Linked DNA regions of Elephas maximus indicus. The protein of the gene in region 2 purifies or fractionates together with the protein of the main gene of each other region. This does not show direct contact. Links are inferred from orthologs where the notes say so. Each region holds a gene or a part of one and is shown on either strand. Other genes may lie near its edges. The genes, in order: KCNA5, CAV1 and TRPC1.

The links.
Region 1: the proteins of CAV1 (region 2) and KCNA5 purify together in Homo sapiens (affinity purification with western blotting, with the first as the bait; 3 studies listed by BioGRID). This does not show direct contact. The link is inferred for Elephas maximus indicus from reciprocal best matches to the Homo sapiens genes CAV1 and KCNA5.
Region 3: the proteins of CAV1 (region 2) and TRPC1 purify together in Homo sapiens (affinity purification with western blotting; 3 studies listed by BioGRID and IntAct, with this or other methods). This does not show direct contact. The link is inferred for Elephas maximus indicus from reciprocal best matches to the Homo sapiens genes CAV1 and TRPC1.

What each region holds. Positions count from the first base shown.
Region 1 is NC_064822.1:61,626,239-61,633,961, forward strand, and holds the start of KCNA5 (potassium voltage-gated channel subfamily A member 5), read left to right. Parts: upstream 1-4,650; 5' UTR 4,651-4,961; coding exon 4,962-6,770; 3' UTR 6,771-7,723. UniProt on the Homo sapiens protein: Voltage-gated potassium channel that mediates transmembrane potassium transport in excitable membranes. Forms tetrameric potassium-selective channels through which potassium ions pass in accordance with their electrochemical gradient.
Region 2 is NC_064826.1:33,195,031-33,202,435, reverse strand, and holds the start of CAV1 (caveolin-1), read left to right. Parts: upstream 1-4,363; 5' UTR 4,364-4,457; coding exon 4,458-4,487; intron 4,488-4,967; exon of another isoform or gene 4,968-5,165; intron 5,166-5,889; coding exon 5,890-6,054; intron 6,055-7,405. UniProt on the Homo sapiens protein: May act as a scaffolding protein within caveolar membranes. Forms a stable heterooligomeric complex with CAV2 that targets to lipid rafts and drives caveolae formation. Mediates the recruitment of CAVIN proteins (CAVIN1/2/3/4) to the caveolae.
Region 3 is NC_064841.1:17,106,772-17,114,792, reverse strand, and holds the start of TRPC1 (short transient receptor potential channel 1), read left to right. Parts: upstream 1-4,961; 5' UTR 4,962-5,449; coding exon 5,450-5,624; intron 5,625-8,021. UniProt on the Homo sapiens protein: Forms a receptor-activated non-selective calcium permeant cation channel. Forms a heteromeric ion channel with TRPC4 or TRPC5 that has reduced calcium permeability compared to the homomeric TRPC4 or TRPC5 channel.

The DNA.
Region 1 (7,723 bases), on a different chromosome or scaffold from region 2:
CCAGGGAGTCCCTGCATTCCTAAACTACAAAGGTTTACATGTCATCTCAGCTATGTACCTGCCCCCTGCAGTAAGAAACTAAAGCTCTTGGGTCAGATGTTGGGAAGAGGGAGCATCTGTATATGGGAAGGTGGTATGCCTTTCTATAGACGCAGTGGAGTGTAGGGAGCAAAGACCTAAACTCTGATTGTAGTTGTTGTTAGGTGCCGTCGAGTCGGTTCCGACTCATAGCGACCCTATGCACAACAGAACAAAAACTGCCCAGTCCTGCGCCATCCTCACAATCGTTGTTATGCTTGAGCCCATTGTTGCAGTCACTGTGTCAATCCACCTCCTTGAGGGTCTTCCTCTTTTCCGCTGACCCTGTACTTTGCCAAGCATGATGTCCTTCTCCAGGGACTCATCCCTCCTGACAACATGTCCAAAGTATGTAAGACGCAGTCTCGCCATCCTTGCTTCTAAGGAGCATCCTGGTTGTACTTAGACAGATTTGTTTGTTCTTTTGGCAGTCCGTGGTATATTCAATATTCTTCACCAACACCACAATTCAAAGGTGTCAACTCTTCTTCGGTCTTCCTTATTCATTGTCCAGCTTTCACGTGCATATGATGCGATGGAAAATACCATGGCTTGAGCCAGGCGCACCTTAATCTCCAGGGTGACATCTTTGCTCTTCAACACTTTGAAGAGGTCCTTTGCAGCAGATTGGCCCAATGCAATGCGTCTTTTGATTTCCTAACTGCTGCTTCCATGGCTGTTGATTGTCGATCCAAGTAAAATGAAATCCTTGACAACTTCAATCTTTTCTCCATTTATCATGACCTTGCTCATTGGTCCAGTTGTGAGGATTTTTGTTTTCTTTATGTTGAGATGTAATCCATACTGAAGGCTGTGGTCTTCAATCTTCATTAGTAAGTGCTTCAGGTCCTCTTCACTTTCAGCAAGCAAGGTTGTGTCATCTGCGCAACGCAGGTTGTTAATGAGTCTTCCTCCAATCCTGATGCCCCGTTCCTCTTCATATAGTCCAGCTTCTCGGATTATTTGCTCAGCATACAGATTAAATAGATATGGTGAAAGGATACAACCCTGAGGCACACCTTTCCTGACTTTAAACTAATCAGTATCCCCTTATTCTGTCCGAACAACTGCCTCTTGATCTATGTAAAGGTTCCTCGTGAGCACAATTAAGGTAACATACCTTTCTGGTATTCTCTGCCTTCAGCCAAGATCCATCTGACATCAGCACTGGTATCCTTCGTTCCATGTCCTCTTCTGAATCTGGCTTGAATTTCCGGCAGTTCCCTGTCAATATACTGCTACAATCAATTTTGAATTATCTTCAGCAAAATTTTACTTGGATCACCTTTCTTTGGAATGGCCAAAAATATGGATCTCTTCCAGTTGATTGACCAGGTAGTCATCTTCCAAATTTCTTGGTATAGATGAGTGAGCACTTCCAGCACTGCAACTGTTTGTTGAAACATGTCAATTAGTATTCCGTTGATTTCTGGAGCCTTGTTTTACGCCAATGTCTTTAGTGCAGCTTGGACTTCTTCCTTCAGTACCATTAGTTCTTGATCATATACTGCTTCCTGAAATGGTTGGACATTGACTAATTCTTTTTCGTACAGTGACTCTGTGTATTCCTTCATCTTCTTTTGATGCTTACTGCATCGTTCAACATTTTGTCCATAAAATCCTTCAACATTGCAACTCATGGCTTGAATATTTTCTTTAGTTCTTTCACATTGGGAAAGGCTGAGTGCGTTCTTCCCTTTTGGTTTTCTAACTCCAGGTGTTTGCTCATTTCATTATTACACTTTGTCTTCTAGAGCCACCCTTTGAAGTCTTCTGTTCAGCCCTTTTACTTCAGCACTTCTTCCATTTGCTTTGGCTACTCTGTTCAAGAGCAAATTTCAGAGTCTCTTCTGACATCCATTTTGGTCTTTTCTTTCTTTCCTGTCTTTTTATTGATCTTTTATTTTCTTCATGTACGATGTCCGTGATGTCATTCCACAGCTCCTCTGGTCTTAGGTCATTAGTTGTCAATGCATCAAATCTATTCTTGAGATAGTCTCTAAATCCTGGTGGGATATACTCAAGGTCATACTTTGCCTCTCTTGGACTTGATCTAATTTTCTTCGGCTCCAATTTGAACTTGCATATGGGCAATTGATGGTCTGCTCTGAAGTCAGCCCCTGGCCTTGTTCTGGCTGATGAGACTGAGCTTCTCCATCGTCTGTTTCCACAGATGTAGTCAGTTTGATTCCTATATATTCCATCTGGTGAGGTCCACGTATATAGCTGGTGTTTATGTTGCTGGAAAGGGTATTTCCAATGCAGAAGTCGTTGGTCTTGCAAAGTTCTATCATGCGGTCTCTGGTGTTGTTTCTATCACCAAGGCCCTGTTTTCCAACTTCTAATCTTCTTTGTTTCTAACTTTCACATTCCAATCACCAGTAATTATCAATGCATCTTGATTGCATGTTTGATCAATTTCAGACTGCAGAAGTTGGTAAAAATCTTCAGTTTCTTCATCTTTGGCATTAGTGGTTGGTATATAAATTTGAATAATAGTTGTATTAACTGATCTTCCTGGAAGACATATGGATATTGTCCTATCACTGACAGCATTGTACTTCTGGATAGGTCTTGAAATATTCTTTTTGAGGATGAAAGCAATGCCATTCCTCTTCATGGTGTCATTCTCGGCATGTAGACCATATGATTGTCTGATTGAAAATGGCCAATACCAATCCCTTTCAGTGCACTAATGCCTAGGATATCAGTCTTCAAGTATTCCATTTCATTTTTGATAGCTTCCAAATTTCCTAAATTCATAGTTTGTAAATTCCACGTTTCGATTGCTAATGGATATTTGCAGCTGTCTCTTCTCATCGTGACTGGTGCTATATCAGCACGTGAAGGTCCGAAAGCTTTACTCCATCCAAGTCATTATGGTTGACTCTACTTTGAGGAGGCAGCTCTTTCCCAGTCGTCTTTTGAGTGTCTTCCAGCGTGAGGGGCTTATCTTCCCGCATTATATCAGACAATATATATGCTGCTATATATAAGGTTTTCACTGGCCAGTTTTTCAGAAGTAGATTGCCAGGTCTTTCTTCCTAGTCTGTCTTACTCTGGAAGCTCTGCTGAAACCTATCCACCCTGGGTGACCCTGCTGGTATTTGAAATACTAGTGGCATAGCTTCCATCATCACAGCAACATGCAAGCCACCACGGGAGACAAACCAACAGATAATAATGGCACTTACAAAATAGGGAATAATAGTAGTTCTTACAACATAGGTTAAGGAGCCCTGGTGGCACAATGGTTAAAGCGCTGAGCTGCTAACTGAAAGGTCTGTGGTCCAAAACCAACAACAGCTCTGTGGGATGAAAGACCTGGTGATCTGCTCCCATAAAGTTTATGGCCTAGGAAACGCTATGGGGAAGTTTTACTCTGTCCTATTTTTTATAGGGTAGCTATGAGTCAGAACTGGCTTTAAAGCACACAATGACAACAACACCACAAAATAGGTTGCTGTGAGAAATACAAGACTCAATATTTGTAAAGTGCTGAGAATGGGCCTGATACATAATAAGAGCACGTAAATGCTGGTTGCTATTATTCTGCTCCTGGGAATTCTCTAGTGTGGATTCTGTAACCTCCCTGGCTCTCAGTCATAAACTCTGCCTCTGCAGACAAACTTGCTCCATTTGTAGCTCTGTGCTTCACCAGCGGAAACAGTCCTTCCCAGGATCTCTTCATCCCTCCTCTCCTTCCCTGTTAGTTTTTTGCAAATAAAATTTGGTGGAGAGAACAGAAGGGCTGTGTGTCCTTTGGGTTATGTGGCTAGGCAGTCAATCTGATGAGGCGGCTTGCCTGGGATTGCCTGCCTGGGTCTGTCCTGGCCTGGCACCTCAGTCTGGATTGGGAATCAAGGCTACTGACAGGGGAAACCCTGGTGGCATAGTGGTCAAGTGTTTGGATGCAAACCAGAAGGTTTGCAGTTCCAATCTACGAAGAGCTTCTTGGAAACCCTATGGGGTAGTCTACTCTGTCCTATAGGGCTGCTAGGAGTTGGAATTGACTCCCTAGCAATAGGTTTGGGCAGGGGGAAACGCCAAGATTTCAGCCGCGTGCCTTATTGTGGGTTTAGCTTCTGCACTAGTCTGGAGAGTGTTTATTTGTTTAATTATTCAAAGGCCAACATTCTGCCACGTCCGCTCCCTCCCGCCTTCCCTCCCCCATTCTTCCCATAGATGGGATACCACTATTCTTCCAAAGGAAAAATTTAAAACTGTTTTCTCCCGTCTCTTATACGCTGACCCAGCTCCAAGCCTCATGCCTTCAACGCAAGGCAATTCATTTCCCCTAGAGTCCACTCGGCGTTCAGCGGATTCCCAGGTGAACTGAAATCCAGAGCTATTCTCATCTGGTTGCCCTGGGAGTTTCAGCGCTCTCGGTACAACCTGTTCCTCCATCCTCCCCACTCCCTCCCTCCCTCCCTCTGCCCGGCTGCGCCCTCCTCGGCCCCCCTCCCTTCCCTAGCCCGGGGCCCCAGCTGCGCCTTCCGGGGAGACACCCGCTGCCACGAGACCCGGGAAGGGAGGCGGGAGGAGGAAGAGGGGACGGGGGGAAGGAGGGGAGCTGCCGAGGTTGGAGGTCGAGCGCCGCGCAGCCAGAGAGGAGCGGCTGAAGGTTGCATCTGCGGGAAAGAAGCTTTTTGGCTGCTTGGTAACCGGCTGCCAGAACAGAGAGAGAAGCAGAGAGCAGGCCAGCGGCTTCTTGACGTCAGGGCCAAGCGAAGGGATCTTGCCAGCCAACCCAGCCCGCCCCAAAGTGGGGCCGGCCAAACGACCCGCGGGGGAGAAGCCTGACGCCAGGCGCCCGGAGGAACGTGAGCGGGTGCCACCGGAGCCGGTCGGTAGGGGCTCAGCATGCCCCCTGCCCCTGGGCCATGGAGATCGCCCTGGTGCCCCTGGAGAATGGCGGTGCCTTGACCGTCCGAGGAGGAGGTGAGACCCCTGCAAGCTGTGGCCAAGTCACAGGGGGAGAGCTCCAATGTCCCTCGACGGCTGAGCTCAGTGAAGGAAGCAAAGAGCCGGCACCAAGGGGGAGCAGCGCGCAAAGGGACGCAGACCCGGGAGGGCGGTCTCTGTCACCGCTGCCCCGGGAGCTGCCGCAGCCTAGACCACCTCTTTCGGAGGACGAGGAGGGAGAAGGCGACCCTGCCGTGGGCATGGCAGACGATCCGGCGCTGGGCGTTGGGTCCCTTCTCCACCAGCGCGTCCTCATAAACATCTCCGGACTGCGCTTCGAGACGCAGCTGGGCACCTTGGCGCAGTTTCCCAACACCCTCCTGGGGGATCCGGCCAAGCGCTTGCGCTACTTCGACCCGCTGAGGAACGAGTACTTCTTCGACCGCAACCGGCCCAGCTTTGATGGCATCCTCTACTATTACCAGTCAGGGGGCCGGCTGCGGCGGCCGGTCAATGTCTCGCTGGATGTGTTCGCGGATGAGATCCGCTTCTACCAGCTGGGGGACGAGGCCATGGAGCGCTTCCGGGAGGATGAGGGCTTCATTAAAGAGGAGGAGAAGCCCCTGCCCCGCAATGAGTTTCAACGTCAGGTGTGGCTTATCTTCGAATACCCGGAAAGCTCTGGGTCCGCTCGGGCCATCGCCATCGTCTCGGTTTTGGTCATTCTCATTTCCATCATCACATTCTGCTTGGAGACCCTGCCTGAATTCAGGGATGAAGGAGAGTTGCTCCGCCATCCCCCAGTACCCCACCAGCCTCCTGCTCCTGCCCCAGGTGCCAATGGCAGCGGGGCCATGGTGCCTCCCCCTGGCTCAACAGTGGCACCGCTTCTGCCTAGGACCCTGGCCGATCCCTTCTTCATTGTGGAGACCACGTGTGTCATCTGGTTCACTTTCGAGCTGTTGGTGCGCTTCTTCGCCTGCCCTAGCAAGGCCGACTTCTCTCGGAACATCATGAACATCATCGACGTGGTGGCCATCTTCCCCTACTTCATCACCTTGGGCACCGAGCTGGCAGAGCAACAACCAGGAGGTGGAGGAGGTGGCCAGAATGGGCAGCAGGCCATGTCCCTGGCCATCCTCAGAGTGATCCGCCTGGTCCGGGTGTTCCGCATCTTCAAGCTCTCCCGCCACTCCAAGGGGCTGCAGATCCTGGGCAAGACCTTGCAGGCCTCCATGCGAGAGCTGGGCCTGCTCATCTTCTTTCTCTTCATTGGAGTCATCCTCTTCTCCAGCGCCGTCTACTTCGCGGAGGCCGACACCCAGGAGACCCACTTCTCCAGCATCCCGGATGCTTTCTGGTGGGCAGTCGTCACCATGACTACTGTGGGCTATGGGGACATGAAGCCTATCACTGTTGGGGGCAAGATCGTGGGCTCTCTGTGTGCCATTGCTGGGGTCCTCACCATCGCACTGCCAGTGCCCGTCATTGTCTCCAACTTCAACTACTTTTACCACCGGGAGACGGACCACGAGGACCAGGCAGCCCTTAAGGAAGAGCAGGGAAGCCAGAGCCAGGGGACAGGGCCTGATGGTGGAGGCCTGCACAAGGCCAGCTGGAGCAAGGTTTCCCTTGGCAAGGCTGGGGGGTCCCTGGAGAATGCAGACGGAGCCCGAAGGGGCAGCTGCCCTGTAGAAAAATGCAACCTCAAGGCTAAGAGCAATGTGGACTTACCGAGGTCCCTGTATGCTCTTTGCCTGGACACCAGCAGGGAAACAGATCTGTAAACCAAGATCAAGGCAGACTGGGATGGGGGGAAGTGGGGTGGGGGACAATGTAGGTCTCCTGAACCCGGGTCTCTACTTTTTACCACAGAGTGTTTCAAGCCTACCCTGTAGCCTAAGTTTGCTCCCTCTTTCTCTCCCTCCTTCTCCTCCTCCCTTGACCCCCCATTTTTCCTCTTCTTTTTTTTTTTTTTCCATAACACCAAGGGTCGCCTATTTTTAAAAAGTACCACATTCCATGACGCAAGAGCTGTTGAAATGGTGAGCGCTGTGAAATGGCTGTATTTGTAGCCAGTTTCCTATACCCAGCAGAGGGAAAACCCAAACAAAAAATGACTTTAAATAGCCCAGATCCCAAGAGATTTTGTAAGCTCCCCTCATCTGTGTGTTCCAAGTTTGCTTTACATATGATTATATTTGTGTATAGAGGCAAATCTTATTTTTATGACTGGCAAGTGGATTTTGTACTGTAGTTCACCTGGAGATATTTTGGATATATTTTCATGACATATGTTGTGTTTACGGAGGAGAGAGTTGTTTTTCTGTGATACTTACATTAGAGCCAGAGATGCTGGTTGGCTGTTCTGGTTCCCGGGCCCTCAAGCCTCTCTTTTTTGGGATGTGGTATTGATGCTCCGTGTCTCGCCAGGAAATACTCTGGGAAAAAGGCAAACCTGACTTTTCTGTGCGCCTTAAACAATTCTCATAACTTTCTTCAAAAAGGATTTTAATGATGGTGGAGGCAGACTTCTGATAATTCATTCTCTTTATTTTTATCCCAGGAAATAAAATGTTACTTGGTTGAGGCAAGTGTTAGTTTTTCTTTAGCCGATGTATTTTTTTTTATTATTATTTTTAATTTCTCGGTCTGCCACTTGCAGTTTCTGGTTTTGGAGTCAGAGCAAATGCTCCGACTGCAGTAGAAAACTTGGAGAGCTAAGGTTTTGATCAGTGAC
Region 2 (7,405 bases):
TTGTTTTTATGTCTTTTAAGAAAAGAAACAGAAAAAAAAATCATTTAAAATACTCAAAGTGGAAAGATCCAAACCAGAGAAGATGCTATGGGACCTTCAAGCCTGAATAAGGATAACCAAAAACCTGTTGCCATTGAATTGATTCCAACATATAGCAGCCCCATAAGACAGAGCAGAACTGCCCCCATAGGATTTCCCAGGTTGTAATCTTTCCGAAAGCTGATTGCCACATCTTTCTCACGAAGAGCCTCTAGTGGGTAAGCTACTAAACCACTGCACCACCAGGACGCTTTGAATAAGGATAGAAAGGCTTAAAGGGTGTGACAAGCCTTCCCCTAGAAAACCAGTTTTTCCCACTTTAAAATGGCATTCAGTGGTGGGGGAAGGGGGAATCGGGGTGTGAAGAATAGTGTAAGGTGTGTGGGGTGCTAATGGTGACAAACAGAGTAAAGATTCAGCTGAACACATAGGTTGTAAAAATACGGACAGATTTATGTGCCTTCATGTAAACAGTCACTGCTCCAAAATGCCTCACCTCCCTGCAGCCCTTCTCCTGAGCCCTGCACCCCATGATCCAGCAACTAAAGGAAGGACTAATGCCTAGCCAGCAGGATTCCAAGACAGCTACAGTCCAGAATGACTGATCAGTGGCTCTGTCATACTGGTTATTAAAGGTGTTTCCTATCATTCCACATGATAGCCCCTATTATAATCTCTTTTCTGGACTAACTGACAAAAACGTATTTGGAAATTGTTGGAAAGAAATCTGTTTCTTAAAACTACTAATACCATTGTAAGTGGTCAAAACTTGGACTCCTTATCACCTAATCCTAGAGTGGGAATTAGATGAAGCTAGCTAAACATTTTTTTTTTTTAGCTGAACATAGGAGTGATGCGAACAGTTAAGGACACTCAGCTGCTAACCAAAAGGTTGGAAATTTCAGGCCACCCCGAGGTTAGCCTTGGAAGAAAGGCCTGGTGATCTACTTCCAAAAAATCAGCCATTGAAAACCCTGTGGAGCACAGTTCTACTCTGACACACCTGGGGTCACCATGAGTAGGAGCCAACTCCAGGGAAACTGATTGGAAAGTAAAAAAGAACTCAGGATGGGAAGGATGGGAAGAGGAAGTCGTGACAGGGGGAAAGCGGGCTCAGAGAAGGAGATGAGAGAACACAAAAACAGCTAAGTTCACGTCAGAATTTTGCCCTGACTATACTACTTGAATACAGTCAAATTTATACTACTGTGCTATTTAAATATCATCAAATTTATACTGCTGTACATAGTCAAATACATCCCTTAAGTTAACTGCTGCTGTTGTCATTTATCAACTTTAAAATGTTTCATTACCCAATAAACCTTCTAAAGAACAAACAGTTTAACATATTTCAATACCACTTTCCTCATCTCTAGGATGGTTGGACCAGCTGATCTGTGTCCCTTACATTTTTCTCGTAAACTTTGATACATGAACTGACCTTTAATCCTACTTCTAAAAAAAAAAAAGTAATGAGAAATGAGTTGCCATCTACCCAATTCTTAGTAAATGATTTGGAGAAAGCTATTAACTTACCTCCAAGCATACAGTTATCTGTGTGAGTATCAAAGAAACAATATTTTTATTTTTTATATCATGTAGTCATTTCAAATGGTGTTCTCATGCTAACAATGTTCTTCTTCGTCTTTTCTTTCTCATAAAGGTGGAGCTATTATTCAAAGTTTGTTATTATAACCAGAATTAGATCTGTTTCTCTCTGGTGCCAGCTTCTTGTTGAGGCAGGTTAATAAGGAGTTTGTGGTTTTTCCTTTCATTAGGAATTCATTTGGCATTGACAACGCTTCACTGATCATCACGATTGCAGCTGTTAATTCACCGTCTCTGTGGACTTACCCCAGCAGGCTTGGCTTTCCCTCAGTGGAGTGCTGGTTAAGCATTCACTCAACAGCCTCCCAAGAAAGTCCTTTCCTTGCTGGAATGCAGGACAAGCTCTCTCCGTGTTCCTCTTGATTTTTTCCCCCCACGGTCAAAATTACTCATCCGCAGCTGAAGACTGAGTAACAATAGATGGGAAATGCTTTGGACATTTTTCCATAGACCATAACCCCAACTGTTTTGTAGCAAATATTTATGAAGAAAGAGTTAAGCCAACAGTAATCAGTAGAGGTAGACTAGTCACTACACAGCATATTAAACCTGGCACCATCCTTTGCTAGCATATCATGTTCTTTAACACATGATTTGTTCAAAGAATTTAGAAATGCAATTTGGCAGAAATAAAATGAAGAAAACCCAACTTTTAAAAGATCTTCAGCCTTCTAGTGATGAATAACCAGCATACCGAAAGTCATGCCAACATTCGTGACACTTTGCCTAATATTCCTGGTTGAAATAGATCTTTTTAATTAAATATTGTGTTGTCTTTTTGCTACCATCAATAGCCTGTCCTTTATGGTTTCCTTTTCATATGTTCATACCTTTTTCTCTCCAACTAGATAATCTACTTTGTTATGATTCTATTCTGTATCTTCCCTTCTCCTCCTCCTTTTGCCCACTCCTTTATTCCCCTTTCTAGATTGCCAGTGTTTTTAATTAACCTGTGACCTTTTAGGTGTATTCCCAGCTTTTTTACCTTTCTAGATTGCCAGTGTTTTTAATTAACCTGTGACCTTTTAGGTGTATTCCCAGCTTTTTTACCTTAAGTGAAAATCGACATATATATGTATACGTCAATTATAACGTGAAGTAAATACACACGTATATAATTGACTTTTAATTACATATGTAACCTTAGGGAAAAAGTTCTTTCCATTTTTGGATAGTTTATTTCCTGTCTTATTATAGCCAAAAAGTAAAATGAGGAGTAGTTTAATTCATCTTGTGCTGCTTATGATAAGGTAAAGAGAAGTCGCAATTGGGGGACAGATAAAATATTTTAATTGCTGACAAGTTTTTAAAAATTCCCGTATCAGTTACTAGGTGTCTCAGTTATCTGGTGCTGCTCTAACAGAAATACCACAAGTGGGCGGCTACAACAAACAGAAGTTTATTGTCTCACAGTCTAGGAGGCTACAAGTCCGAATTCAGGGTGCCAGCTCCAGGAGAAGGCTTTTTCTCTCTGTGTAGGTTCTGGGGGAAGGTCCTTGTCAGCAGTCTTCACCTGGTCTAGAACTTCTGAGCGCAGGGATGGGGTCCAAAGGACTGCTGCTCCTCTGGCTCTTGCTTCTCGTTGGTATGAGATCCCCTGTCTCTCTGACGGAGTCTCTCTTTTATATCTCAAAAGAGATTGATTTAAGAGCCAATCTGATCTTGTAAATTGAGTCCTGCCTTATTAACATAATGCCGTTAATCCCGCCTCATTAAAATCTTAGAGGTAGGATTTACAACACAAAGGACGATCACATCAGATGACAAAATGGTGAATAATCACACAATACTGGGAATCATGGTCTAGGCAAAACGACACACATTTTTGGGGGGGGGGACACAATGCAATCCATAACACTAGGAAACCCAAGTTCCCCCTAGCTCACAGCCCGATACGTTTTTTTTTTTTTTTTAAATTCTTGTCTGGTAATAAATTCCAAGCTTTAAACATTTCTTTACCGTTAAATATTGTATATATTTTGTAAATATGGCATAATCTATTGGCATGAATTTTCTTTGTTCAAGAAAAGAGCAGTAGTAAAATTAGAGAAATGTCAAACATTTGTATTCATTTCAAAGCATTTGGGAAACATTTCAGAAGCGGTCGTGAAACATCAAATTGCGCGTGCCGGTTTATCCAAGTTGCTATCCACGCCGCCTAGACGTAAACAAGTGTCACCAAAAGCACACACACGTGCACCACTTAAATTCCTTCTTGTGTCTCGATGTGAAATACACCTAAAGGTTTCGAGCCACTCTTCACCCGTTCCTCTGAATGGTGGAGCCATGTTTCTCAGGAGGCGATGAAAAGTGGGCAAGGCGAAAAAGGGCTTGGAAGAGGGGAGAATTCCTTCCGACGGCTCGAGTGCCCATTCTGGGCATCTCTGCAGGCCGGTCGGCTGCGTGCACCCCCACCCTTGCTCGGATGATGCACTGCGAAAGCATTCGCTGTCCTCAAGATGCCTCTCGGTGGCTCATAGCTAGGAAAATGTTGCCCCAGGTTTAAAACATCTGCCCAAACAGCCCTCCGCGCGCTCAAGCTTTCCCACTCGCTCTCCGCTCCCTGCGGGCCCTCCCCGCCCTCTGCTGCCAGAACTTTGGGGATGTGCCTAGACCCAGCGCCGCGCACGTCCTGGCCAACCGCGAGCAGAACAAACTCCTGGCGCGCGGCCAGGAGGCGCGCTCCCAGCCACCGCCCGCCGCCAGTGCCTTTTTTTCCCTCTATACAATACAAGATCTTCCTTCCTCAGTTCCCTTAAATCGCAGCCCAGGGAAGCCTCCTGAGAGCCTTCATCCAGCCACCGGCCAGCATGTCTGGGGGCAAATACGTAGATTCCGAGGTAGGCTGCGGTCCTGGGCGCGGGGCGCACGTGTAGTACCTGTGCCGGCTATGTCCTACTCCACATATTCCAGCTGCTTTTCCAGCCCCAGCCCTCTCTTGACTTTGGGGCACTCCTCGCGCGTTGGCACGGCTAAGGAATGGACCTGGGCGGGGGAGGCGAAGAGGAGCCAAGAAAGTTTTCCTGTGGGGCAGGGGGCAGCGGGGCCTCTGAGCTAGGGGAACGCGGAAAAGAGGGTCGGGGTCCTGAGGTTGAGTCTGCCGGCCCGAGAACGCATTTTCTGGATGTGTCTGGGACGCTCCCTTGTCTCGGGCCCCCACGAACCGGCCCCTACCTGTTGCGAGGCGGGGAGCTGGAGCACTGGGCGGGAGGATGGAGAGGGCGGGAGGAGGTCGTTTACTCGCAGGCCTGGGGACAGTCCCCGAGAGTCCCCGCCAGGCGCCCGGACCGCTTGCCGTATTTGCACTTTCCAAAGCTCTTGGGCTATCTCAAGAACTCTTCCTGCATCTTGGCGCCCGGCAGGGGTGTTTGGAGAGGAGCAGACCGCGCTCTCCGCCACTACCACCACCGCTTGCAACCACCTCCCCACGTCCCGCATCCTCCCGGGTGTGGAGAATTCGTTTTCCCAAACGCACAAGCGGTTCAGTCACAGGCCTGCGGTCTAGGAGTTACCTGAGGGTGGGTCGGGGGAGGAGTGCGAGTGAGATGTTGCTCGGATGGGGAATTTCGGGGGTTCGGCACGTGGCTCGGCCCAGAGACGAGGGGATACGGGACTGTAACCACTATAAAGGAAGGGGAAAACTTGGGGGGGGGGTCAACAGAGGGCAGAGGTAGGGTGGGGCACGTGGGCAGGTGCGAGCTGTCAGGAAACAACGAAAATGCGAAGACGAAAATGAGGATAAACTCTTAAGGATGAAACTGGAAGGGATTATGGAGAGACGGGGATTATGGAGGGACTGGGGAAGGGCATTGGAGCAGGTGAAGCCTTCGGGGCGAGGGTGGTGTGACGGGGAGAGGGGCTGGAGCCAAGTCAGAGATCTGGGGGGCCCCCTCCCAGCTAGGGGTCTCCACCGGGTACTGCACGCAGGGTGCGCGCGGGGCGGGGGCCACGGCGGACCGGGCCGTGGGGTTCGCCCTGACCCCTGGCGGCGGGCGGGGGAGGCTGGCGCTCCCTGCCTGGTACTGAGGGGTGTGGTGTCCTCGCCTGGATCCTCTTAAAAAGCTTGCGGCGCCAAAGAGTTGACTCTGCGCGGAGCCGCCGCTGCCGACGCGGTTAGTTCGATTTCAATCCTCGAGGTTTTCCTCACAGCCAGGTTAACTTCTGCTCGCTTGTTTTTCTTTTTTAAATTCTCTTGCCACCACTGGTGCCACCCTCTCCCTCCTGGCCGTCCGCGCTCCACAGGGACATCTCTATACCGCTCCCATCCGGGAACAGGGCAACATCTACAAGCCCAACAACAGGGACATGGCAGAGGAGATGCACGAGAAGCAAGTGTACGACGCACACACCAAGGAGATCGACCTGGTCAATCGCGACCCCAAGCATCTCAACGACGACGTGGTCAAGGTAAGCGGAGGCGGCAAGAGGGGAGGGGACGTCCCTAAGGGGCCGCTGTCAGGGCCTGGACAGCCCACCCCTGGCAATCAGCCTGTGCGTTCTTTTCTAGCTTTGCCACACACGCCGTTTTCTAGGCTGGATGTGTGGGAGCGCGTGCGGTTGTTAGAAATGTTGAAATGTCACATCCTCCCCGCCCCCCTCCCCACCACCCCCCGCCTTGCTTAGTTCAGCTGGAATTTAGTTAACTTGAGTTTTGTAGCCCATATAACTGCGCTTTTCTTCTGGTAAATAGCCTCCTGACCTCAGCAACAGACAGGCTCAGATTATTTGGGAAGGTGAGATGGCCACGTTATAAGAGACCCTCTCGATTTCCAGGTCGGAGTCTAGTGCAATCTAGTGAAGGGTGACACCCACCGAACATGGAATTAAGGTAGTAAGATAACTGTGTAAGGTCATGTGCCAAAGGTGAGAGCAGAATACAGAATGGGCAGCCCACTGCTAAATACCCTGAAGTGATTTTCTTAAAAATAATAAAGTGGAATAATATATAAAAAAAAATATATATATATAAATAGGTCCCCCCAAAAACAAAACATATATAAATATATATATTACTGCGTATATATACACGTATATACACACACAACACACATATATAATCCAGTGCCCTCAAGTCGATTCCGACTCATAACAACCCTATAGGACAGAGTAGAACTGTCCCATAGAGTTTCCAAGGAGCACCTGGTGGATTCAAACTGCCGACCCTTTGGCTACCACTTAACCACTAGGCCGCCAGGGTTTCCACACACATATATATACAAACATACACATATATTTCTGTATATACTACATTTATAATTATAATTGAGGGAAGGGTATTTCAACTAGAAAAGCATGGCGCCTGTGCACAGCTAAGCAACTTTACAAAAACAAACTACTGTGCACCTCTTGATTTCTCCTCTAGACACCCCTCGTTAGGTATGGAAAGATGCTTCTTTAGTGGCTAACAGGTCAGCCTGCCCTGAGCTAAGGGGATACTGGGGTTGGGGTTCCTTCTTGTAATTTCAGGATATGTTTAGTAAGACTAAAAATAGATTGAATAAGTTATGCGCAAACTTATAGCTGGCTCAGTGGTCAGTTTTTTGGTTACTATTATGTTATTCAACTTTGACCCATTTTAGCAAATCTAGTCAGAGGAATTTATTGTCTGGATCTATCTGAATTGAGAAATCGTGGGCCTAAGCCATCCTTGGCAGAGGGCTTTCTTTGAGGGACATCGAGGGCCAAGGAAAGGCCTGACCTCTTGGTAGGAGTATGAAGACACCGTCCTGCACAGCCCCAGAGCAGCCAAGGGGGTCAG
Region 3 (8,021 bases), on a different chromosome or scaffold from region 2:
GACCAGTGGAGTATCCTAGATGGTGCCTCACAGGCTTTTGAGACCCCAGATGCTACTCATCAAAGTAGAATGTAGAACATATTCTTTATGAACTATGTTATGCCAGACGAACTAGATATTCCTGGCGATCATGGTCCCCACAGTCCTTGGCCCAGCAATTCTGTCCCTCAGGGAGTTTGGATGTGTCTATAGAGCTACCATGACCTTGCCTTGTACAGGTTGTGCTGGCTTCCCCAGTATTGTGTACTGTCTTACCTTTCACCAAAGTTTCCACTTATGTATTGTCTATTAAGTGTTTTTCCATCCCCACCCCTCCACTCCCTTATAACCATCGAAGATTGTTTCTTTTTATATGTAAACCTTATCATAAGTATTTATAGTAATGGTCTCATACAACATTTGTCCTTTTTGTGATTGACTTATTTCACTCAGCATAATGCCGTCCAGATTTCCTCCATGTTATGAGATGCTTCACAGATTCATCGTTGTTCTTTATCGTTGCATAATACCCCATTGTGTGTATGTACCATAGTTTTTTTATCCATTCATCTGTTAATGGGCATCTAGGTTGTTTCCATCTTTTTGCTGTTGTGAATAATGCTGTAATGAACATTGGTGTACATATGTCTGTCCATGTGATGACTCTTATTTCTCTAGGATATATGTCTAGCAGTGGGATTGCCGGATCATATGGTATTTCTATTTCTAGCTTTCTGAGGAAGCACCATATCGTTTTCCAAAATGGTTGTATCATTTTGCATTCCCACCAGCAGTGCATAAGTGTTCTGATCTCCCTGCAGCCTCTCCAACATTTACTTCCTGTTTTATTGATTTGTGCCAGTAATGCCGAGGTGAGATGGTATCTCATTGTGGTTTCGATTTGCATTTCTCTGATGGCTAGAGATCCTGAGCATTTCCTCCTGTGTCTGTTGGCTGCTTGAATGTCTTTTTTTGTGACGTGTCTGTTCATTTCCTTTGCCTATTTTTTAATTGGATTATTTGTCTTTTTGTTGTAGAGGTGTTGGATTTTCTTGTAGATTTTGGAGATTAAACCTTTGTCTGATTTGTAATAGCCATTTTTTTTCCCCCAGTCTGTAGGTTCTCTTTTTACTCTTTTGGTGAAGTCTTTTGATGAGCATCGGTGTTTAATTTTTAGAAGATCCCAGTTATCTAGCTTATCTTTTGGAGCTTGTGTATTGTTGGTTGTGGTTTATATCCTGTTAATGCCGTGTATTAGGGCCTCTAGCGTTGATCCTATTTTTTCTTCTGTGAACTTCATGGTTTTTGGTTTTATATTTAGGTCTTTGATTTATTTTGAGTTAGTTTTTGTATATAGTATGAGGTATGAGTCCTGTTGCATTTTTTTGTTTGTTTGTTTTTTTGCAGATGGACATCCAGTTTTGCTAGCTCCATTTGTTTAACAGACTGTCTTTTCCCCATTTGATGGACTTTGGGCCCTTGACAAAGATCAGATGACCATAGGTGGATGGACTCACATCTGAGTTCTCAATTCTGTTCCACTGGTCAATGTATCTGTCGTTGTACCAGTACCAGGCTGTTTTGACTACTGTAGCTGTATAGTAGGTTCTGAGGTCAGGTAGTGTGAGTCCTCCTACTTCATTCTTCTTCTTCAGTAGTGCTTTACTTATCCGGGGCTTCTTCCCTTTCCATATAAAGTGAATGATAAGTTTTTCCAACTCTTTAAAGGATGTTGTTGGTATTTGGATCGGGATTGCATTGTATTTGTAAATCGCTTTGGGTGGAATTGTCATTTTCACAATGTTGAGTCTACCTATCTGTGAGCGTGGTATGTTTTTCCGTTTATGTAGTTCACTTTTGGTTTCTTGCAGTAGCGTTTAGTAGTTTTCTTTGTATAGGTCTTTTACATCCCTGGTTAGATTTATTTCTAAGTATTTTATTTTTTTAGGGGCTATTATAAATTGTATTGTTTTCCTGATTTCCTTTTCATCACTTTCTTTATTGGTGTATAGGAATCCAACTGATTTTTGTACGTTTATCTTGTATGCTGCTACTCTGCTGAATCTTTCTATTAGTTCCAGTAGTTTTCTCTTTGAGTCTTTTGGGTTTTCTATGTATAGTATCATACCATCAATATGGGTTTACTTTAAAGGAGGAATGTCCCAAATACTTTGGTATGCCTCCTAGGATTATCTACTAAAGTAGGTTGGAATTCCCCCAATCTTTGGAAATTAACCCAGTACTTATGGGAGTCCTCTGGATAAGGAATCAATCACCTAAGCCCAGAAGCTTGAAAACGCATCATATTAAAGTAGTTTTTGAGTCAGCCTCCCCCCCCAAAAAAAAATTATATAGAGAGAATATTTATCCTAAAATACTCAGGAATGTCTGGATGAATTGGGGTTATTCTGCTACTGACTAAAACTTTTGTGGGACTACTAACCCCAATTCGTCTAGAAGTTCCAGAGAATTTATCCAGAGGACTCTCATAAGGACCGGATTAATTTCTAAAAGAGGTGTCACCCTGAGTCAGAATCGACTGGAAGGCACACAGCAACAAAGAGTGTCTAAATACACACACAGATATGCGTATAAACACTGCTTACTGGCCACAAGTCTACAATGAGTGATTTTGACATTCCACAAACTTGGAACTGTATTAAACATTATGGAATGGAGACTTACAATCTGGGTGGGGCATAGACAAACAGGAGCCCCGGTGGCGTGGTGGGTAAGAACACAACTGCTGACCAAAAAGTCAGCAGTTTGAATCCACCAGCCCCTCCCTGGAAACCCTGTGGGGGCAGTTCTAGTCTGTCCTATAGGATTGCTATGAGTCAGAATTGACGGCAATGGGTTTGGTTTTGCTATAGACAAGGAACCCTGGTGGTGCACTGGTTAAGCCCTTGGCTGCTAACCCAAAGGTTGATGGTTTGAACCCACCAGCTGCTCCACAGGATATAAAGATGTGGCAGTCTGCTTCGTAAAGAGTACAGCCTGAGAAACCCTGTGGGGCAGTTCTACTCTGTCCTGTAGGGCTGCTGTGAGTTGGAGCCCACTTGACAGCAGCGGGTGGGGTTTTACAGACAAGACAAAACAACTAAATGATACAATAGGTAATCAACTATTTTGAAGTCTGTACACACATAAAGATGCCGGGAAAGATGGGCAATCTTGCTATCTGCTAAGGCCTCTTACAGAAGATCTAGAGAGGACTCCGAATGATAGATTTGGGGCCGAAGGTGTTGGCAGAGATGAAACAAATCAACCTGAATGGAGTAGGAGGTTGTTGTTAAGGTGACATGGAGTGGATTCCAAGTCATAACGGCCCCATGTGTGCAGAATAGAACTGCTCCAGAGGTTTTCAAGGCGTGGCCTTTCTAAAGCAGATCGCCAGGCCTTACTTCTGGATGGGCCTGAACTGCCAACCTTTCGGTTAGTAGTTGAGTGCTTAACCATTTGGGCCCCTAGGGGCCCTGAGTAGGAAGTATTCCCCTCAAATATAAGATGCTGAGGTAAAATTGAAGCCGCCTCCGCGGCTTCCCCTGCTATGCTGCAGTTTTCCCCCTCCCTCCCTCGTAGCCCGCCAAGCCGAGGTTTCTAACTGCACCTTGGCCCAATCGCGCCGTTGGCCCTGCCCGTGGTTTGAATTTGGCACCGAAATCCCACGCATGCGGAAACCAAGATCTCCAGGCATGCACAGGACCTGAAGAGCCGTAGGCCTGAACTTGACCCCGACCTGAACTTCCCGGGAGAGGAAGGTGTACTCTGGCACACAGCTGCACCCAAGCCCATTTGCTGAACAAAATGTCCCTTCCTTTGCTAAATGAGTCAGCACCTAGAACTCCAAATATGGACATGGGAGGGAGCGGAGTGTTGGATTTTGGGTGCCAATCCCGCCCCCCTCCCAGGGACTGGAGGGCATAAAAGCTCCAAGCTCCCCTGGGGCTGGGAGCCTGTGGTCCTTTAGGTTGCTAGGTTCCACCTTGCTCCTTATTTGTGCAAACAATAAATTTCCACTTTGTTTCCCTTGCCACTGGTGGTGTGACTTCTGTCTTATTTTGATCCGCTAATAGGACAGGACAAAAACCCTCTTTCGCACACAAATTTATGTATTGCTTTAAAGCCTGAAATCTTAAGTGCACAATTAAGGTTTTGGTACAATTTGTCGTGGGAAGCAATAGTAATTATTCAAGAGATGTAACTTCCAGCTTTTCTCCCTAGCTTTTTAAGATGCAAGACAACAGCAATATTCTATAATGGATAATTTGCTTTAAATAGAACCTTGATAAAAAATAAATTATTCAAGGAAGTAGCACTTACTGAGCTTCAGTCAGCTTTTGCCTGAATAACAAGGCCATCTTTCAAAATGAAATTGATAAATGTAAAGAGGAACAGGAAACCACTGGAACGACTGTGATGGAGAGCAGGTCCTAAAAATACGCTTTGCCGTTGGTTTCATATCAGTAAGTACACTTGAATTCGTGGAATAAATAAATGTGTGACGCCAGGAATGGTATGGCAATTTCAGATCACAAGAGAGTTGTTAAAAAATACGGTCTTTAGAAATGAGGTAGCCAGCTCGATGTAGGTACGCAGATGGACACATGCGGGGCTCCCTCCTTTCAGCTTTAGGTAGCGTGCACCGGAATATAAAATGCTCTTGCAAAGGGCACGAGGGGTTTCGACTGAACGTTAAGTCGTCAGAAACTCAATTAGCATACCGCTGCATCTTTAGTGAATGTGCGCAGGAGACAGCGTGGAAACCGCCTGCCACCAGCAATTTCTGCGTGGAGAGGGTGGAACGGGCCGGTCCCCTCCTCTGCGCGCGAAGCAGCCCGCAAGCGGCCGGGGGGTAGGTGGGGCGTCCCTCGAGCCCGCCCCCCCAGGCCCCGCCCACCCCGAGCCGCTGGCCCCTGAGCCCTAGCTCGGCAGGCCCCGCCCCGCTGTCGTCGCTGTCGCCGAGCGCAGGATGACGTGAGGAGAGAGTCGCGAGCATCTCCTCGGGGCGCAGCTCGACCGCCGGCTCCACGGCCCCGGAGCCCGACGTGCGCAGAAGCGCCTCTCAGGGCTCCTCTCCCACCGAGCCCTCGTCCTCCACGCGGGCCGGGCCGCCTCCCACGCGGCCTCTGCGGCTCCTGGCACGGCCCCGCGCCCGGCTGCTGCCCTGGCGCGCGCCACCCTGTCGTCCCCGGACGGGCGCGGACCGGCTCGGCCGGGGCGCCGGCGGCTGGGAAGGGGGCGCTGGCCCCGGGCCCGCGCATGCGCCGCCAGCAACCTGGGGCTGTCTGTGGAGGGCGAGTGCTGGCTCCGAGGGGAGACGACACCCTGCGGGGCCAAGGGGCCGCGCTCCCAGGCGGTCGGGGGAGCGACTCACCCCTTTTCCAGCAGCGGGGCGGGGCTGGGGCCGGAGCCGGGGCCGCTGGGGGCCCCGCCCCCGTCCCCCGGCCTGCCCCCGTCGTGGGCCGCGATGATGGCGGCCCTGTACCCGAGCACGGACCTCTCGGGCGCCTCCGCCTCCTCCCTGCCGTCCTCCCCATCCTCCTCTTGGTCGCCGAACGAGGTGACGGCTCTGAAGAATGTGCGGGAGGTGAAGGAGGAGAACACCCTGAATGAGAAGCTTTTCTTGCTGGCGTGCGACAAGGGTGAGAGCTGGCCCCTTTCCCCGCCTTCGGGACGCCCCTGCCCTGCGCACCCTTCTTCCTCTCCCTGCCTCAGTTTACTCGCGGCGCACTTTTTCCCACGCGCCGAGCCTGCGCTCCCGCCGCGCTCGCTGCCTTGTCGGTGCCGCCCGCACCGCCTCTGCGCTCCCAGTGCCGGGCTGGCGGCGGGGACTGCTCTGGCGTGGCTTCCCCTCGTGCTGTCCCATGTTTAGGTAGCACCCCGAGGACCCGAACATGGGGGTCCTAGCCCCGGCTCTGCCTTGGTCTACCTCTCGGGACCTCAGTTCTTTTCTTCTGGGGGCCGAGGGGCTTTGTCTCCTTTCACTGGGACCTTCTAGTCCAGAAATTCCACGACCCTGCCTTAAGGTTTCTCGTGTTTATGGGCTCTCACTGGGTTTCGTTTTTTTTTTTTTTTTAAGATTTTACTTCTCTTATTTCGCTTCAGCTGCCCGGTGCCTTAGCCAATATATGTTCAGTGACTATTGAACGGAGTTAGGCATCTCTATATCATAGCTGGAGATATATGAAGTAAGCAGAACGGGAGAAATTCTGCCTTAGCCCCTAAAACTTTCTTCAGCCCTATGGAACAGCTTTGATGGTTCGAGCTGTTTTGGGAGAGAAAGGTTTATTGCTCCCGAGCCTTCTATGGGAAATGAAGGTAGTGCACAATAATTACAGGGCAAAAATATGTGGACTGTATTTAGTATGCTTTCTTTTTTTAAATCTAGAAATTGATGGCTTTTATGGCCATATTAAAGTCTTCATTGAAGCCTGCTTTCTGGTGATGCCTATAATAAAAGGAGTGGGAAGTTGATTGCCCCAAGACTGCTTTTATTTCCTACTTGTACAAAAAGCACTGAAAATTTTCTGCTTCTAAACTTATGTGGCTTGCTGTACAGTGGCCATGCTCACTGAGGAACACTTTGTTTAGAATAATGCAGACCTCCAAAACAAACCGAGGGCCGTTTAGAGTGCGGAAGTATCCGCTACGGAGGATTTTTCGTCTGTGCCCCTGTGGTTGCGCCTGTGTTTTTAATAAATGACCATCACCCTAACCTCCTTACTGGTTTTGAAAGAGGATTTTATTTCCCCAACTTTTTGAAAAAAACGTTGACATAAATAAGGTCTAACTACCTCTGTTGTCAATCCACTTTTATGTTCTTATGTAACGGTGTTAAATACTGTGAAAAGCATTTGTTAAAGTTCACCAGGGACACAACTTTGAGTAGTCTTGGAAATGTAAAGAAAAATAGCATATAGATCTGTAACCTCACAAAAGTTATGGCCTGTGGATTATGTAAAATTATTTAGTATTGCTGGAGTAGCTTGCCTGAGTCCTCGTTCCTCAGAAATTCTCTGCCAGAGGAGGAGAGAGATTGTGTGTTGTACCGGAATGAGCAAGCAGCTGCTGCACCCGCCCACGCTCAGTGTGCTGTGGTTGCAATAAAGCAAACGGAAAGTATGTCAAGAAAGGGAGTTTGATATTCCTGCCAAACTGAGGACAGAGGAATATCGTGATGGGATATGGCTGGAGTGGGTACTTGTGTATTTAGGAATACTACGTCACACATCTCAAAAGGGAGTTTTAATGTAGTCTATCCAGTAGTGCCAGCATAAACAGTTTGATATCCTTTGTCAATTCCCATTTTATAACATCATTAAGATCCTGGGAAAGATTTGTCTTTTGGGGATGAGGTGGAAGCTAAATATGCATGCTTTTGTTTCCCATTTACAGGAAACCCTGGTGATACAGTGGTTAAGTGCTACTGCTGCTAACCAAAAGGTTGGCAGTTCCAATCCACCAGGCATTCCTTGGAAAACTCTGTGGGGGCAGTTCTATTCTGTCCTATAGGGTTGCTATGAGTTGGAGTCGACTCGAAGGCAATGGGTTTTGTTTGTTTTTTTATATAAATTAAAAGTAAAAAAATTTTTAAATGATTGGATAAAATAAGTATTTCCTATGGTTCAGTATGTTGAAACAAGTTCTTGGATTAGATTTAGAAAAATGGCATATTTCTTATCCATACTTTATGGTATAAACTTACATTAAATAATAAACTTAAGTTATAGGAATGCATTTTTTGTTTACATTTGTATTCTCTAATATTGTTGAACTTTGTTGTCATTAGGTGCCATCGAGTTGGTTCTGACTCATGGCAAACATGTATACAACAGAACGAAACACTGCCCAGTCCTTCTCTATCCTCACAATCTTTGTTAAGCTTGAGTCCATTGTTGCAGCCACTGTGTCAGTCCATCTTGTCGAGGGTCTTCCTCTTTTTCGCTTACCCTCTACTTTACCAAGCATGATGTCCTTCCCCAAGGACTGGACCCTCCTGATAACATGTCCAAAGTATGTGAGATGAAGCCTTGCCATCC